Saccharomyces cerevisiae S288C: one gene and its partners. Changing the gene in region 2 together with the main gene of any one other region gives a genetic interaction. Each region holds a gene or a part of one and is shown on either strand. Other genes may lie near its edges.

Region 1 (6,776 bases), on a different chromosome or scaffold from region 2:
GTACTTTTTTTCGAAATTCTGTTGAATTTATTCGAACTCAGAATTGGTCCATCAAGAGCATCCAAAATACAAAATAACTCATCATCACACAAGAAGAAGCACAACTCCAAGCAATTTCTACAATATGTCAAAAAAACTTGCGTCACCATTGTCCTTCTTACCCCTTTATAATTTGCTTTCTGCTGTTGGTTGGTCTTATTTGCTTTACTTGGTCATCTCCTTGTACCCAAAAGTTGGACAGCCAGCATTCTTCTACCAAACTAAAAATGTCGCTACCCTTGTTCAATGTGGTGCTATAATCGAGATCATAAACTCATTTTTAGGAGTTGTACGTTCCCCATTGCTGACCACTGTTGCACAAGTGTCTTCAAGACTACTAGTTGTCCTCGGCATCTTCCAATTGTTGCCAAACACAAGTGGTGTTCAATCAGTTGTTTACATATCATTATTACTGGCATGGTCTATAACTGAGATCGTCAGATACTTGTATTATTTTTTCATGTTGGTATTCAAGAATGGCGCACCAAAGATCTTAATTCTATTAAGATATAATTTGTTCTGGATTTTGTACCCCACTGGTGTTGCCAGCGAACTACGCATTATTTACTGTGCTTTAAATGCAGCTGAATCTCAGTATTCTTTACTTTACAAAAGAATTTTAATAGCGGCCATGCTCGCTTATATCCCAGGCTTCCCAATGCTCTTCCTACACATGGTAGCACAGAGAAAGAAAGTCATGAAAAGTTTAAGATCCTCTTTCGGGAAGAAACTAATTTGAATTCTTTAGATAAATTCTTCTGTATTTTTTATAAGAATATTAGCCTTCACATTGAAATGGCTTCAACGCTCTTAACCATAATCACTAGTATCTTGCGGTGCACGGGCTTTATATTGAGCAAAATTGCGAAGGGTAGCCGAATTAGAGAACTCTTAGAAAGATGTCGAAGCTCACTCGGAGTCGACCTTCACAGCCTACTGAAACAACTGTGCCGAGACAATCTTAAGTGTGTTGCTCTAATTTTCATGCTACAACTGAAATTCATATGGCCAGTGGCCAGAATCACACCTATTTATAGGCCATTTACCAGTCATCCATTCAGAAATTTAGCTACTTCCTCAAGCATCAGTAGTACAAAAGCTAAGACTACTAAGACAGATACAACTCCACTAAAATTATCAAATGAACTATATGCAATATTCAAGATTCATAATCGTCCATATTTGGTGACCGAGGGCGACAGAGTTATTCTTCCATTCAAATTGAAGCAAGCGGAGGTGGGTGACATTTTAAACATGACCGATGTAACAACTTTAGGATCTAGAAACTACAAGCTAGTTGGTCATCCAATCAATACTTCTCTGTATACTTTAAAAGCAACCGTTGTTGGGAAAACTAAAAGGGCTTTCCAAACTAGGGAGGTAACGAAGAGAAGAAATAGACGGGTCCGTCATGCAAAGAGTAAAGGTGATTTGACAATCTTAAGAATATCAGAACTGAGTATGAACTGAATTTTAGGGATATGTACATATACGCATACGTATAAAATCATGTAAATAACAATAAAATTTGACACACTTTCTTCGGCCCCAATGGCCATTCAATTCCAGACCGACGCGTCTTCTAAGTTATAATGCTATGAAATTTCAACAAGTTAATTAAAAGTAAGCATAATAATAAAATCAGGTAATGGATTCACCAAAAAAAAAAATAAAAAAACAAGGGCAGAGGGGTGACCATTAGTACGAAACACTAAATATAGTATTAAAATAGTTCAACTCCACCTCCAAATGCCCTTTTTGAGGAAAATAGCGGGGACAGCACATACACATTCTAGGTCTGATTCGAACTCATCTGTGAAATTCGGCCATCAGCCGACTAGTTCGGTAGCATCAACCAAAAGTTCAAGCAAAAGCCCTCGTGCAACATCTCGCAAAAGCATTTATGATGATATTAGAAGCCAATTTCCCAACCTAACCCCCAACTCTACCTCTTCTCAGTTTTACGAAAGCACGCCAGTTATCGAACAATCCTTTAATTGGACGACAGATGACCACATCTCAGCTGGAACGCTTGAAAACCCAACGAGCTTTACAAACAGTTCTTATAAAAATGACAATGGACCTAGTAGCCTCTCTGATTCGAGGAAATCCTCCGGTGGCAATAGCGTAAATAGTTTGTCCTTTGACAAGCTAATTCTATCGTGGGATCCTACAGACCCTGATGAATGGACAATGCATCGCGTCACCTCATGGTTTAAATTTCATGATTTTCCAGAATCCTGGATATTGTTTTTCAAAAAGCATCAATTGTTTGGTCACAGATTTATAAAGTTGCTTGCATATGATAATTTCGCTGTTTATGAAAAGTATTTGCCGCAGACTAAAACTGCTTCATATACCAGGTTTCAGCAGTTATTGAAAAAAACAATGACCAAGAACGTAACAAATAGCCATATTCGTCAGAAGAGCGCTAGCAAACTTAAAAGTTCCAGGTCTTCCAGCGAATCGATCAAATCAAAATTAAAAAATAGTAAATCGCAAGAGGATATTTCAAATTCTAGATCAACGTCAGAATCTGCATTGAGCCCAACAAAATCGGGCCCTTCCAAGACCGATGAAAAGAATTTTTTACATTCTACTTCAACACACCAAAAAACCAAAAGCGCAAGTTCACTATACAGAAGAAGTTTTATATCCCTAAGAGGCTCATCATCGAGCAATGCTTCCTCAGCAAAATCACCTTCAAACATCAAGTTAAGTATACCGGCTCGGCCGCACTCAATTATTGAATCTAACAGTACACTTACCAAATCGGCGAGCCCACCTGCATCTCCTTCGTATCCTAGCATATTTAGAAGACATCACAAAAGTAGTTCATCTGAGTCGTCATTATTAAATTCCCTTTTTGGTAGTGGAATAGGCGAGGAAGCTCCAACAAAGCCTAATCCACAAGGTCATAGTCTGTCTAGTGAAAATTTAGCTAAAGGAAAATCTAAACACTATGAAACTAATGTGTCTTCACCTTTAAAACAATCTTCACTACCCACTTCGGATGATAAAGGTAATTTATGGAATAAATTCAAAAGAAAGAGCCAAATAGGGGTTCCTAGCCCAAATACGGTAGCTTATGTAACGTCTCAAGAAACTCCATCCTTAAAATCGAATTCGAGTACTGCTACCTTAACCGTACAAACGGCAGATGTAAATATACCATCTCCATCTTCATCACCACCGCCAATACCCAAAACTGCAAACAGAAGTTTGGAGGTCATCAGCACAGAAGATACACCTAAAATTTCTTCAACCACGGCGTCTTTTAAAGAAACGTATCCTGATTGTATTAATCCAGACAAGACAGTTCCAGTGCCGGTAAATAATCAAAAGTATAGTGTAAAGAACTTTTTACTGGACCAAAAATTTTATCCTCTGAAGAAAACAGGGTTAAATGATAGTGAGAATAAATATATTCTGGTTACCAAAGATAATGTTAGTTTTGTTCCGCTAAACTTAAAAAGTGTAGCAAAATTATCCAGTTTCAAAGAATCTGCTCTCACAAAATTGGGAATCAATCACAAAAATGTCACTTTCCATATGACAGACTTTGATTGCGATATTGGTGCTGCAATTCCAGATGATACTTTGGAATTTTTGAAAAAAAGCTTGTTTTTGAACACTTCTGGAAAAATTTATATCAAAGACCAAATGAAGCTTCAACAAAAACCGAAACCTGCTCCTCTCACCTCAGAAAACAATGTTCCTTTAAAATCGGTGAAAAGTAAGAGTTCAATGAGGTCCGGAACAAGCAGTCTGATAGCATCGACAGATGATGTTTCCATTGTCACTTCGTCTTCTGACATAACATCATTTGATGAACATGCATCAGGAAGTGGGCGCAGGTACCCCCAAACCCCGAGTTATTACTATGACAGAGTTTCCAATACTAATCCAACTGAAGAATTGAATTATTGGAATATTAAAGAAGTTCTTTCTCATGAGGAAAATGCACCAAAAATGGTTTTTAAAACAAGTCCAAAATTAGAACTCAACCTACCAGATAAAGGAAGTAAATTAAATATTCCTACCCCCATAACAGAAAATGAAAGCAAGAGTAGTTTTCAAGTGCTAAGAAAAGATGAGGGGACTGAAATTGATTTCAATCATCGTAGGGAATCGCCTTATACAAAACCAGAACTGGCACCAAAAAGAGAAGCTCCCAAGCCTCCCGCAAATACTTCTCCTCAGAGGACCTTATCAACTTCTAAACAGAATAAACCGATCCGCCTAGTGAGGGCAAGTACAAAAATTTCGAGAAGCAAAAGATCGAAACCATTGCCGCCACAATTATTATCATCTCCTATAGAAGCTAGCAGCTCGTCTCCTGATTCGCTTACTTCCTCATATACTCCTGCTTCGACTCATGTTTTGATACCGCAACCTTATAAGGGTGCAAACGATGTTATGCGTAGGTTGAAAACAGACCAGGACTCGACGAGTACTTCCCCATCTTTGAAAATGAAACAGAAAGTGAATCGCTCAAATTCAACTGTATCGACTTCAAATTCAATTTTCTATTCTCCTTCACCATTGTTAAAAAGAGGTAACTCAAAAAGAGTTGTTTCGTCGACATCTGCGGCCGATATATTTGAAGAGAATGACATAACATTCGCGGATGCTCCGCCGATGTTTGACAGCGATGATAGTGATGACGATTCTAGTTCATCCGATGACATTATCTGGTCCAAGAAAAAAACAGCTCCTGAGACTAATAATGAAAACAAAAAGGATGAGAAAAGCGATAACAGTTCTACGCATTCTGACGAAATATTCTATGATTCTCAAACGCAGGACAAAATGGAGAGAAAGATGACCTTTAGACCATCTCCGGAGGTCGTTTATCAAAATTTAGAGAAATTCTTCCCAAGGGCTAACTTAGATAAGCCAATCACTGAAGGAATAGCTTCACCAACATCTCCGAAATCCTTAGACAGCCTACTTTCACCAAAGAATGTGGCTTCATCGAGAACTGAGCCAAGCACTCCTTCCCGTCCCGTCCCTCCTGATAGCTCATACGAGTTCATACAGGATGGACTTAACGGTAAAAATAAACCATTGAATCAAGCTAAGACACCTAAAAGAACAAAAACCATAAGAACCATTGCACATGAAGCTAGTTTAGCAAGAAAAAACTCTGTAAAACTAAAAAGACAGAACACCAAAATGTGGGGTACAAGAATGGTCGAAGTGACCGAAAACCATATGGTGTCAATTAATAAAGCCAAAAATTCGAAAGGTGAGTATAAGGAATTCGCCTGGATGAAGGGTGAAATGATAGGGAAGGGATCTTTCGGTGCTGTTTATTTATGTTTAAACGTTACTACAGGTGAGATGATGGCCGTTAAGCAGGTTGAGGTCCCCAAGTATAGCTCACAAAATGAAGCCATTCTAAGTACCGTGGAAGCATTAAGATCTGAAGTGTCCACGTTAAAAGATTTAGATCATCTTAATATTGTTCAATACTTAGGTTTTGAGAATAAAAACAATATTTACAGTTTGTTTTTAGAATATGTTGCTGGTGGCTCCGTGGGATCCTTGATTAGAATGTATGGAAGATTCGATGAACCGTTGATCAAACATTTAACAACACAAGTATTAAAAGGATTGGCATACCTACACTCGAAAGGTATTCTCCACAGGGATATGAAGGCAGACAACTTACTTTTGGATCAAGATGGTATCTGCAAAATCAGTGACTTCGGAATTTCAAGAAAATCAAAGGACATATACTCTAATTCGGATATGACCATGCGAGGAACAGTCTTCTGGATGGCTCCTGAAATGGTTGATACAAAGCAAGGCTACAGTGCAAAAGTTGATATATGGTCTCTGGGATGCATCGTTCTGGAAATGTTTGCTGGTAAGCGCCCGTGGTCCAACTTAGAAGTCGTCGCAGCCATGTTCAAAATTGGAAAGTCAAAATCGGCACCACCAATTCCTGAGGACACTTTACCATTGATATCGCAAATCGGACGAAATTTTCTGGACGCATGCTTCGAGATAAATCCAGAGAAAAGGCCAACCGCTAACGAGCTTCTTTCTCATCCTTTTAGTGAAGTAAATGAAACATTCAATTTCAAATCTACCAGACTCGCGAAGTTTATAAAGTCAAATGATAAGTTAAACTCTTCAAAATTAAGGATAACCTCTCAGGAGAATAAAACTGAATAGCTATTAGGATCGATCTATACTTAAGATATTTATGCATACGTAATAATATAGAACAATAAACATAGATGACGGAATGACGGAATGACTGAAAATTAAGAACAAAGAAAATTAAAAAATTTCTGCTGATACTTATTCAGACGAAAAATGGTGCACAATAAGGGTGTCAAAACGACGATTCGACCCTTCAAATATTACAGTCCTCACCTCTTCGCTGAAGGGCTCACTTTCATCAGGAAGGTCCTCTCCAATAATAAAGGTAGTCTCCTCTATATCAGCTAAAGCAGTATCTGATAAACCAACATCAAGCACAGTCTCTATAAAGGACGGCTTTTCAATTGCTTCTTCTGGAACTTTCGTTTCAAAGGGGATATCCACAATTTTAATGGTAGATTCGTTTAGCCAGTCATGCTCAGCAAATGCAGTTGACAAATCTTTTGCGAAATCAATATTCTTGCTGTTAATAAATATACTACAGGATGCATTATCATTATTATAGCCATCTCTATAGCATATCAATAAGAGAAGATATAGTCCAAGATAATCGGATTGTG
Region 2 (2,722 bases):
CACGTCATCTGGTTTTTTAAAACCCTGAAGAATCAAATAAGATTATTTGACCAAAGGAAGGGAAGGGAAGAGAAAAAAAACTTAAAGAAAAAAGAAATGAGAAACCCTGGTGTGTTCACGTAGATGCACAGACGGTGGGCAACCCAAAACTTAGTCTTCCGATAAACTTTTCAGGTTCTTGTACACGTGGAAACGCCCGATATATATCACATGTAGCTGTGTAATATGAGAATGCCTTTGTCCATGTGATAAACCGTGCAAAACTTAACATGGGAGCAGGCACAAGTGTGAGTCCCACGAACAAAACGCCGCTCGGGTAATAACGCCCAATGTAAAAACATCATAAATCAGCACGCAAACGGTAAAGAACAAAAACATCTTCAAGGGAAAAGTATACAGATGTATAGTCTAAGCTATTGTATTTGTATAAATGGTTCTTATTTTAGTTTCGTTTGCCCATGAGCGTTTGATTTGCTCAAGAACAAGGAACAAAGACCAGCGTGTTGGGGAAAAGAAAAAGAAAACAAAAAACAAAAGTAGATCACAAGTTTTCCAGAGATGCAGCAATTTCGTCCAGTTCCTTCTTTGCGTCTTCGTACTTGACGGTCAATTCCTCGTTCTTTCTTTCCCATTCTTCTCTTTGTTCTTCCAAGGCAGCTACTCTTCTTTCCAATTGATCTGCCTTCAAGTCGGACTCTCTCAATTTCTCAGTGGTTTCCTTTAGCTTGGTGTCGCTTTCCTCCAAGTCTTCTTCCAATTGCTGGTTCTTCTTGGAGAAATTGTCGTTGTTGGACTGCAAGTGGTGAGAGTCCTCGGACAATTGCTTGGATTCAGCCAATTCTGCTTCCAACTTCTCGATCTCTTCCTCCAATTGGTGGTTCTTCACCGTCAAGGACTTGATCTGATTTTCTTTTTCAACGTTATCCTGTTCTGTTTGCTTAGAGTCAGAAAGTCCCGCTTCCAGCTTCTCGATCTCATCCTCCAATTGCTGGTTTTTGACGGTTAAAGACTTGATCTGATTCTCCTTTTCGACGTTCTCTTGCTCCAAGTCCTTGTTCTTCTCTTTCAACTCCTCGTACTTCTCCTGCCATGATTCGGCTTCCAACTTCAAGTTGCTTAGCTTTTCTCTGATTTTGTCCATTGTTGCCTTTTTTGTGTGTATGGGGTGTGAGTTCTACTATGTAGATTTCTTCTACCAACCTAATCTTTTACAGTATCAGAAGGGAAAAACGAACCTTCTTCTTGCCAAGTATGCAGTATGTGATCTCTAACACTTTTCCGTTTCTCGTAGATCGTGCTATGGTGTGCTGATTTTTTATTTTAATGGTTACCCGACTTCTTTACCCGGCTCTCCGTCGGGTAAGATATATGTGCTAGCGCCACGCGATGGCTGGTTTGTCTTTTTAAGTTCTTAATATTTATTTTTATATTTTGATTTTTTTTTTTTTTTTTTTTTTCCATTAGTGAATGACAGCAATGTATTAAGCTGCTGCCGCGCATACAAAATGTACTGCGTTAAATTAGATTAGCTTAAATTAGTGCTTGGTAAAGGAGGAGTGGTTTCAAGTCCGGTGTGCGCCCCACTTTATTCGGGTATCTTCTACGTTTTTACATCCATGTTTCAGGTACTGTTGAAAATAGTTAAGATCGTTCGTATTTCTTAATTCATGTATTTTTCCCTGTTCCTAACTCGCAAACATCAGTTTTCTTGCAGATACGTCTTGAAATACAACCATACAGACAATGGAGACATACGAGACTAGCATTGGGACTCAGTCTTATCCCCCGACTTTGTTCCCACCTCCCCTGGGTACCGGTGGGTTTACCACTTCAGGTTATATACATGCGCTTGTGGATTCTACATCGAACTCGAACTCGAACTCGAACACAAATTCGAACACAAATTCGAACACAAATTCAAATTCAGATACCAAGATTCCTATAGTGCAAATATCGGATGACTCTCATATAACACACGACAGCTTCAAACCATATATGGAGTACCACGATGCTTCGCACTTGAGGAACCGTAACATAAGCAAAGCGGACCAGGTTGAAAGCACTGAAGTGATGGAACAGTTTACGCAATGGTCGAATTATAAGATGAGGTCTCGCTCTCCTACCATAAACGCAAAGCCAATTCGACACACTTCACAACGAAGAACAGACTTTACCAGCAAAAATGAACTCTCCAAGTTCAGCAAGAATCATAATTTCATTTTTCACAAAGGGTTTTTGAAGAGGCAACACTCCATACGCAGGGAAGACAGGCAAGCAAAGGTACGGTCAAGATTCAGGAGCAAGAAGGAGCTGACATCCGTTTTGAACTATATAGAACTGGAACAAATGGATATTGCAAATGTCCTGGCTTCGCAACCGGTAAACTTACACGCTATCAGAAATCTCACTAGCAGGGACCCTGCGGTAACTCCTATCCCATTTTTAAGAAGCCAGATGTATGCAACCAGTAGTCGTCCACCGTATCTAAGGAACCGCTCCATAAGTAGGAAACTACCCAAATCACAACCAGGTAGTCTCCCGACGACTATGCCTGCGACGGCGACGAAAACAATTAAACAGAATTCAACGACCCCAACCACAAGATCTGTTTATAACAAGAATGTGGGGCGGTCCAATACTTCCCCTAGTGTGTTGTACCACCCAAAAAGAAGAGGAAAATTGAACACCAAATCGCATGCAAGAAAGGAGCAACTGCTGTTGG
Region 3 (3,991 bases), on a different chromosome or scaffold from region 2:
GAAAATAAAACCACTGCTAAGAAAGACAGTATCAAATATGGACTCAATGAACCACCGAAGTGCGTCTTCGCCAGTGGTACTTACAATGGAGCAAGAGAGAGTGGTTAATTTAATCGTCAAAAAAAGAACAAATGTCTTTTACACCGGTAGTGCGGGTACAGGTAAGTCGGTCATTTTGCAAACGATCATAAGACAATTGAGCTCTTTGTATGGGAAAGAATCAATTGCAATTACCGCCTCAACTGGGCTAGCGGCAGTGACTATTGGTGGTTCCACATTGCATAAGTGGTCTGGTATAGGAATCGGGAACAAAACTATCGACCAATTGGTGAAAAAAATACAATCACAAAAGGACTTATTGGCCGCATGGAGGTATACAAAAGTTTTGATAATTGATGAAATTTCTATGGTCGATGGTAATCTGTTGGATAAATTAGAGCAAATCGCAAGGAGAATTCGGAAGAACGACGATCCCTTTGGTGGTATTCAATTGGTCCTGACAGGCGATTTTTTTCAACTACCACCAGTTGCTAAGAAGGACGAGCATAACGTTGTGAAATTTTGTTTTGAAAGTGAAATGTGGAAACGGTGCATTCAAAAAACGATTTTACTGACAAAGGTTTTCAGACAACAGGATAACAAACTAATTGATATTCTAAATGCCATAAGATACGGAGAGCTGACTGTCGACATTGCTAAAACAATAAGGAACCTAAATAGGGATATAGACTATGCCGATGGAATTGCTCCTACAGAACTGTATGCCACAAGAAGAGAAGTTGAACTATCCAACGTAAAGAAATTACAGTCTCTACCTGGTGATTTATATGAGTTTAAAGCTGTAGATAACGCGCCCGAGAGATACCAAGCGATACTAGATTCTTCATTAATGGTGGAAAAAGTTGTCGCATTGAAGGAAGATGCACAGGTAATGATGTTGAAAAATAAGCCTGATGTAGAATTAGTTAATGGATCATTGGGAAAAGTTTTGTTTTTTGTTACAGAATCGCTGGTGGTGAAAATGAAGGAAATTTACAAGATTGTGGATGACGAAGTTGTCATGGACATGAGATTAGTGAGTCGGGTCATTGGTAATCCCTTGTTAAAGGAATCAAAGGAGTTTCGTCAAGATTTGAATGCCAGGCCATTAGCTAGATTGGAACGTTTGAAAATCTTGATAAACTATGCAGTTAAGATCTCTCCGCATAAGGAAAAATTCCCCTATGTGAGGTGGACAGTGGGTAAAAACAAGTACATACATGAGCTCATGGTCCCAGAGCGCTTTCCCATTGATATTCCCAGAGAAAATGTCGGGTTAGAAAGAACTCAGATTCCATTAATGCTATGCTGGGCACTGTCCATTCATAAGGCACAGGGTCAAACTATTCAAAGACTAAAGGTCGACTTGAGGAGAATTTTCGAAGCCGGCCAAGTTTATGTTGCACTGTCAAGAGCGGTAACTATGGACACCTTACAGGTCCTAAACTTTGATCCAGGAAAGATTCGCACCAATGAAAGAGTAAAAGATTTCTATAAACGTTTAGAAACTTTGAAATGACTTGCAACGAATAAATGCATATACTCTAGTTGAAGTTTTCTTTTCTTGTTCTATACAGGTTCGAATACTTGTGAGCCTATCTGTATAATTTAACAGAATCCCGAAATATTCATCTAGAAGCCATCTATTTAGCTAAGCCTACGTATGCGGCGATTTTTATATTATCTTTTTTTTTTTTTATAGAAGACTGCGAAATGTTGGCAGAATGGAAAGTTTCAGTGTTAAAAATAGAAACTGAAAAAGGAGATCTAGCCAGGAATATATCGAAAAAAAAAGTGAGGGAAATCAGATCCTACACAAATATTTAGATTTAATTGAAGACCCTGGTCTGCCAGATATATATATATATTAGACGAACTGTGCATTCAGTCAGCAAATCTAGGCCACAGATTTTCTTATTGAAGCTATCAAAATAGTAGAAATAATTGAAGGGCGTGTATAACAATTCTGGGAGATGGCTGATAAGATAGAGAGGCATACTTTCAAGGTCTTCAATCAAGATTTCAGTGTAGATAAGAGGTTTCAACTTATCAAAGAAATAGGGCATGGAGCATACGGCATAGTGTGTTCAGCGCGGTTTGCAGAAGCTGCCGAAGATACCACAGTTGCCATCAAGAAAGTGACAAACGTTTTTTCGAAGACCTTACTATGTAAAAGATCCCTACGTGAGCTAAAGCTTTTGAGACATTTCAGAGGCCACAAAAATATTACATGTCTTTATGATATGGATATTGTTTTTTATCCAGACGGGTCTATCAATGGACTATATCTTTATGAGGAACTTATGGAATGTGATATGCACCAAATCATCAAATCCGGTCAACCTTTGACGGATGCTCACTATCAAAGTTTCACATACCAAATATTATGTGGTTTAAAGTATATTCATTCTGCAGATGTCTTGCATCGTGATTTGAAGCCCGGCAATTTGCTTGTCAATGCAGATTGTCAATTGAAAATCTGTGATTTTGGGTTAGCTAGAGGTTATTCGGAGAATCCTGTCGAAAACAGTCAATTTTTGACGGAGTACGTGGCCACTAGATGGTATAGAGCTCCGGAAATAATGTTGAGTTACCAAGGATATACCAAGGCGATTGACGTATGGTCAGCTGGCTGTATTTTAGCGGAGTTTCTTGGTGGAAAGCCAATCTTCAAAGGAAAGGATTACGTTAATCAATTGAATCAAATATTACAAGTTTTAGGGACACCCCCAGACGAAACTTTAAGAAGGATTGGTTCTAAAAATGTTCAGGACTACATACATCAATTAGGTTTCATTCCAAAAGTACCTTTTGTCAATTTATACCCAAATGCCAATTCACAAGCATTAGACTTATTGGAGCAAATGCTCGCGTTTGACCCTCAAAAGAGAATTACCGTGGATGAGGCCCTGGAGCATCCTTACTTGTCTATATGGCATGATCCAGCTGACGAACCTGTGTGTAGTGAAAAATTCGAATTTAGTTTTGAATCGGTTAATGATATGGAGGACTTAAAACAAATGGTTATACAAGAAGTGCAAGATTTCAGGCTGTTTGTGAGACAACCGCTATTAGAAGAGCAAAGGCAATTACAATTACAGCAGCAGCAACAGCAGCAGCAACAGCAACAGCAACAGCAACAGCAGCCTTCAGATGTGGATAATGGCAACGCCGCAGCGAGTGAAGAAAATTATCCAAAACAGATGGCCACGTCTAATTCTGTTGCGCCACAACAAGAATCATTTGGTATTCACTCCCAAAATTTGCCAAGGCATGATGCAGATTTCCCACCTCGACCTCAAGAGAGTATGATGGAGATGAGACCTGCCACTGGAAATACCGCAGATATTCCGCCTCAGAATGATAACGGCACGCTTCTAGACCTTGAAAAAGAGCTGGAGTTTGGATTAGATAGAAAATATTTTTAGGACAAAAAACTATAAGTAACCGGGGAAGTATAGAATCACCATAGATGTAAGCTTACAGACAATGTGTATATATGATGTATATGAACGTATACAAATATATATATATATACGTGCTCTTGTTGTAGCTCGTATATCAAATTCCTCCTCCGACGCTTATCTTAATCGTACTCCGCGGAAGTTTGTTATCGCCTCTTGAATTCTTTCTTTTCGTTCATTTATGATTAGTCATCTATAGACAATATTCATTATTTAAGCACCTAGAATACTAAACTAAATGTCTAAATATGACACAAGGAAGATAAGATAAAAAAAACCAAGCGCTTAGAATATGACTTTAATGGTACCTTTCAAACAAGTTGATGTATTCACTGAGAAGCCCTTTATGGGAAATCCAGTAGCAGTAATAAACTTCTTGGAAATTGATGAAAATGAAGTCAGTCAAGAAGAATTGCAGGCAATTGCCAACTGGACAAACTTATCAGAAACAACGTTTTTATTTAAACCATCTGATAAAAAGTATGATT
Region 4 (3,634 bases), on a different chromosome or scaffold from region 2:
GAAGTAATTAAGATAAGTTGACATGTCATTGAAACTGTAACTAGTGTTTACTGAACTGCATTCGTTGCCAATCCAGAATGGTGGTAAGTAGAAATCTCCAACTCGTGGAATTCTCGCTATCATAAACTCTGATGTCCTTAACTTGTAAATTTCGTCTACGGTGGGATCATCAATTGGTGTGTGTGTAAATTCGTTTGCAAAATATTCACCCCATTCTTCATTTATTTTAACTGCAGCTCGTAATCTGTCTGTAGTTACTTTTTCGCTCAATGATTTCCGAACACCCTTTAGAAATTTCATCTGACTATTGATCTTACTCAGTTTTCCTTTGTCGCTGGGCTTCCTTTTCTTTCGATTTTCCAACTTTTGACTCATCAAAGAGCATAAAACTTCACAACTATCTAATATGTTATTGGCCCCGCACATAGCAAACCTGCTGGCGTGAAAAGTTTGATGGTTGAACCCTGTATCGCCTTTCAAGTGAGTGAGCCTTTGAATTTCATTATGGAAAAGTGCGGAGTAGCTACAATTCCAATCGATCATGCATCTCAATAATATTATTCTATCTAATGGTTCCATCGTCAACAAACCACCTCCATTAAAATTTAGAGTAGATAAAATATCACTATTACCACGCCATTCTTTTGGTAAGCCCCACTCCTGGATTAAGCTTCTGAGTTTGCCAACCAGTTTTCCATATGGATTTTTCAAACTAAGAAATCTTTTTAGCGTGAAATTTCTATGAGTTTGGTTGTCTGCTCTTTTCTCGGAGCAGAATAATAACCTCAAAAGACTGCAAAATAGTAGATTCATTTTATCCTGACAAATTCGAATATTCTTCGCAGAATGGCCAGCCACCTTTAATTCTAGTCCTATCTCCACATCTTGAAATGACAGGTTCAGTAGATCGTCGCTGAACACCCATTTAAATTTGACGATAAAAGAAAGGATCTTCATAACATCGCCTGCATATGGGAGAGGGGTGCAAAGGGGAGGCGCCCAATTGCTTTCCGTTACCGTCTCATCACTCATAAACTTTGCAAAGTCAGAATATCGTAAAGGAATATTTGGTGACCAGTTTAATGTATTCAATGGTCTATTATTAGAAGTAGTGTGTTCACTGATCGACTCTACCTTGTTAGTGTCGTTCGAATGTGTTTTGATATTAGAATATTTGCTTGCCATATTTGCCTCCATTTCTTTAGTTTTCATTTCTTCATCACAGGTACCTTCATATTTCTCCCGCTTTTTAGTATTTTGGGTAGCAGCATCCAGTGATTCGTCAATTGAACTATTGTGAGAAAGTACAACAGGTTCTTCTACAATTTTGATGTTTCTGAAATCATCAAAGGTCAACTGACCCCTTCTTTTTACCCTAGGCTTTGAAGACTGGTTTTTCTGTTGTTTGACCATAGGTTTCTTGATAAAGTCATCGACCAAGTCTAAATCAATAATTTCTGTCATTATTGTACCTCAAATTTCTTGTTCCTTATTTTCTTGTTTGATGTCTAAAAAAAAGAGATATCCTGGTAATGAGCAGGCCGTTTCTTCAGCTCATACAATCGAAAGCTTAAGAGTTAGTCGTTGATATGGTATTCTCTAATACCGAAAATAACTTAGTACATATAAACGCGTAAAGTTCACGCGTTTATATCACCCTACCATATGACATTCTAACCCTACTAATTTTTTATCAAAGCTAATAGGGTTGTATTTTATTATCTTTTACACCTACCTTTTTTTTTTGTATATGCCCTATAGATGAATTATAATTGTTGGACCGGTTTGTATTGGGCTTTTAAGGTGTAAAGTGAGTGCGTATAGATTATAGCAGAATAGACTATAAGTACGGCAAGACAGGAAAGTCTCCAATTGATGTACATTTTATCGCTTTGTGATCTAGGCAGTCGTTACAAACATGTTTAGAGATAGAACTAATTTATTTTTATCATACCGTAGGACTTTCCCTCATAACATAACTTTCTCATCTGGGAAAGCACCCTTGGGCGATGATCAAGATATTGAAATGGGTACATACCCGATGATGAATATGTCTCACGATATATCGGCCAGATTGACAGATGAACGAAAAAACAAGCATGAGAATCACAGTGATGCGTTACCACCCATATTTATTGATATAGCGCAGGATGTTGATGATTATCTTCTGGAGGTGAGACGGTTAAGTGAGCAGTTGGCGAAGGTTTATAGGAAGAATTCGTTACCTGGCTTTGAAGACAAGAGTCATGATGAGGCGCTGATTGAAGATCTAAGTTTCAAAGTAATTCAGATGCTGCAGAAATGTTACGCTGTTATGAAACGATTAAAGACCATATACAACTCTCAATTTGTGGATGGTAAGCAATTAAGTCGAGAAGAGCTGATTATACTAGATAATCTACAGAAGATCTATGCAGAAAAGATACAAACTGAAAGTAATAAGTTCAGAGTATTACAAAATAATTACTTGAAATTCTTGAACAAGGATGATTTGAAACCTATCCGCAATAAGGCCAGTGCAGAGAACACGCTATTATTAGATGATGAGGAAGAGGAGGCAGCAAGAGAGAAGAGAGAGGGCCTCGATATTGAAGACTATTCAAAAAGGACGTTGCAGAGACAGCAACAGCTTCATGACACTTCTGCAGAAGCATATTTGAGAGAACGTGACGAAGAAATTACTCAGTTGGCAAGGGGTGTATTAGAAGTGAGCACTATTTTCAGGGAAATGCAAGATTTGGTTGTTGACCAGGGGACTATTGTGGACAGGATTGATTATAATCTGGAAAATACAGTGGTAGAGCTAAAAAGTGCAGATAAAGAGTTGAATAAAGCAACACACTACCAGAAGAGAACTCAAAAATGTAAAGTCATTTTATTACTAACATTGTGCGTAATAGCGCTCTTTTTCTTTGTTATGTTGAAACCACATGGCGGTGGCAGTGGTGGTCGTAATAATGGTAGCAACAAGTACAACAATGATGATAATAAAACAGTTAATAACAGTCATGATGACGGCAGTAATACCCATATTAATGACGAAGAGAGCAACTTGCCGAGTATCGTTGAAGTAACAGAATCTGAGAATGATGCTTTGGATGACCTACTTTGATGACAAAACTTTCACGGTACCGCATCGCGATTTTGAACTATAATATGCTTTGAAGAAAATTGAGAGATTTAGTCAGCGTTCATATGACCTGTTGCTCGTTCTATTTGAGAAAAGTGAAAAGGTTAATATATGATTTCAATAAAGTATGTAGTATGATAATAAAATACAAATTTATATGGGATAAAATTGAACCGCAAGTAAAGACTGGCGAACGAATATTGTGCATAAGTAGTTCCTGAAGATGATAAAATATGGTTTAATACAAGTTGGTGGTTATTGTGATTTGTAGAATATAAAAAAAAAAAAAGAACCTTCATTTTTCTTTTTTTACCTAAATCCGTAAGGATTGTTCAGTGAAGTAGTAGCTCGGGGCAAGTTTTTGTTTTGCATTCTCCTCTTATAGGCAGGCTTATATCCTTGTGTTATCGGGCTTTGGTTTGGTAAAGGATTCGGAGCAAAACCGACGCCTGGTACCGGATTTCTGTGCTGTGGCACTTGGTTTGGGGCAACGTTGAAATAAGG

The links.
Region 1: mutations in TPM1 (region 2) and BCK1 together harm fitness more than expected from each alone (negative genetic interaction), as found in Saccharomyces cerevisiae (5 studies listed by BioGRID).
Region 3: mutations in TPM1 (region 2) and SLT2 together harm fitness more than expected from each alone (negative genetic interaction), as found in Saccharomyces cerevisiae (7 studies listed by BioGRID, with this or other methods).
Region 4: mutations in TPM1 (region 2) and TLG2 together harm fitness more than expected from each alone (negative genetic interaction), as found in Saccharomyces cerevisiae (5 studies listed by BioGRID).

What each region holds. Positions count from the first base shown.
Region 1 is NC_001142.9:245,467-252,242, forward strand, and holds BCK1 (mitogen-activated protein kinase kinase kinase BCK1), read left to right. Parts: upstream 1-1,788; coding exon 1,789-6,225; downstream 6,226-6,776. Other genes in the region: enoyl-CoA hydratase PHS1, read left to right, coding at 125-778; mitochondrial 54S ribosomal protein bL21m MRPL49, read left to right, coding at 1,024-1,509; KHA1 (Kha1p), read right to left, coding at 6,355-6,776. UniProt on the Saccharomyces cerevisiae protein: Serine/threonine protein kinase involved in a signal transduction pathway that plays a role in yeast cell morphogenesis and cell growth. This pathway seems to start by SMP3; then involve the kinase PKC1 that may act on this kinase.
Region 2 is NC_001146.8:478,025-480,746, forward strand, and holds TPM1 (tropomyosin TPM1), read right to left. Parts: upstream 1,142-2,722; coding exon 542-1,141; downstream 1-541. Other genes in the region: EOS1 (Eos1p), read right to left, coding at 1-8; NIS1 (Nis1p), read left to right, coding at 1,744-2,722.
Region 3 is NC_001140.6:168,366-172,356, reverse strand, and holds SLT2 (mitogen-activated serine/threonine-protein kinase SLT2), read left to right. Parts: upstream 1-2,012; coding exon 2,013-3,467; downstream 3,468-3,991. Other genes in the region: RRM3 (DNA helicase), read left to right, coding at 1-1,558; YHI9 (Yhi9p), read left to right, coding at 3,796-3,991. UniProt on the Saccharomyces cerevisiae protein: Serine/threonine protein kinase involved in a signal transduction pathway that plays a role in yeast cell morphogenesis and cell growth.
Region 4 is NC_001147.6:290,359-293,992, reverse strand, and holds TLG2 (t-SNARE syntaxin TLG2), read left to right. Parts: upstream 1-1,918; coding exon 1,919-3,112; downstream 3,113-3,634. Other genes in the region: ESC8 (Esc8p), read right to left, coding at 1-1,464; TOS7 (Tos7p), read right to left, coding at 3,440-3,634. UniProt on the Saccharomyces cerevisiae protein: t-SNARE that functions in transport from the endosome to the late Golgi and on the endocytic pathway.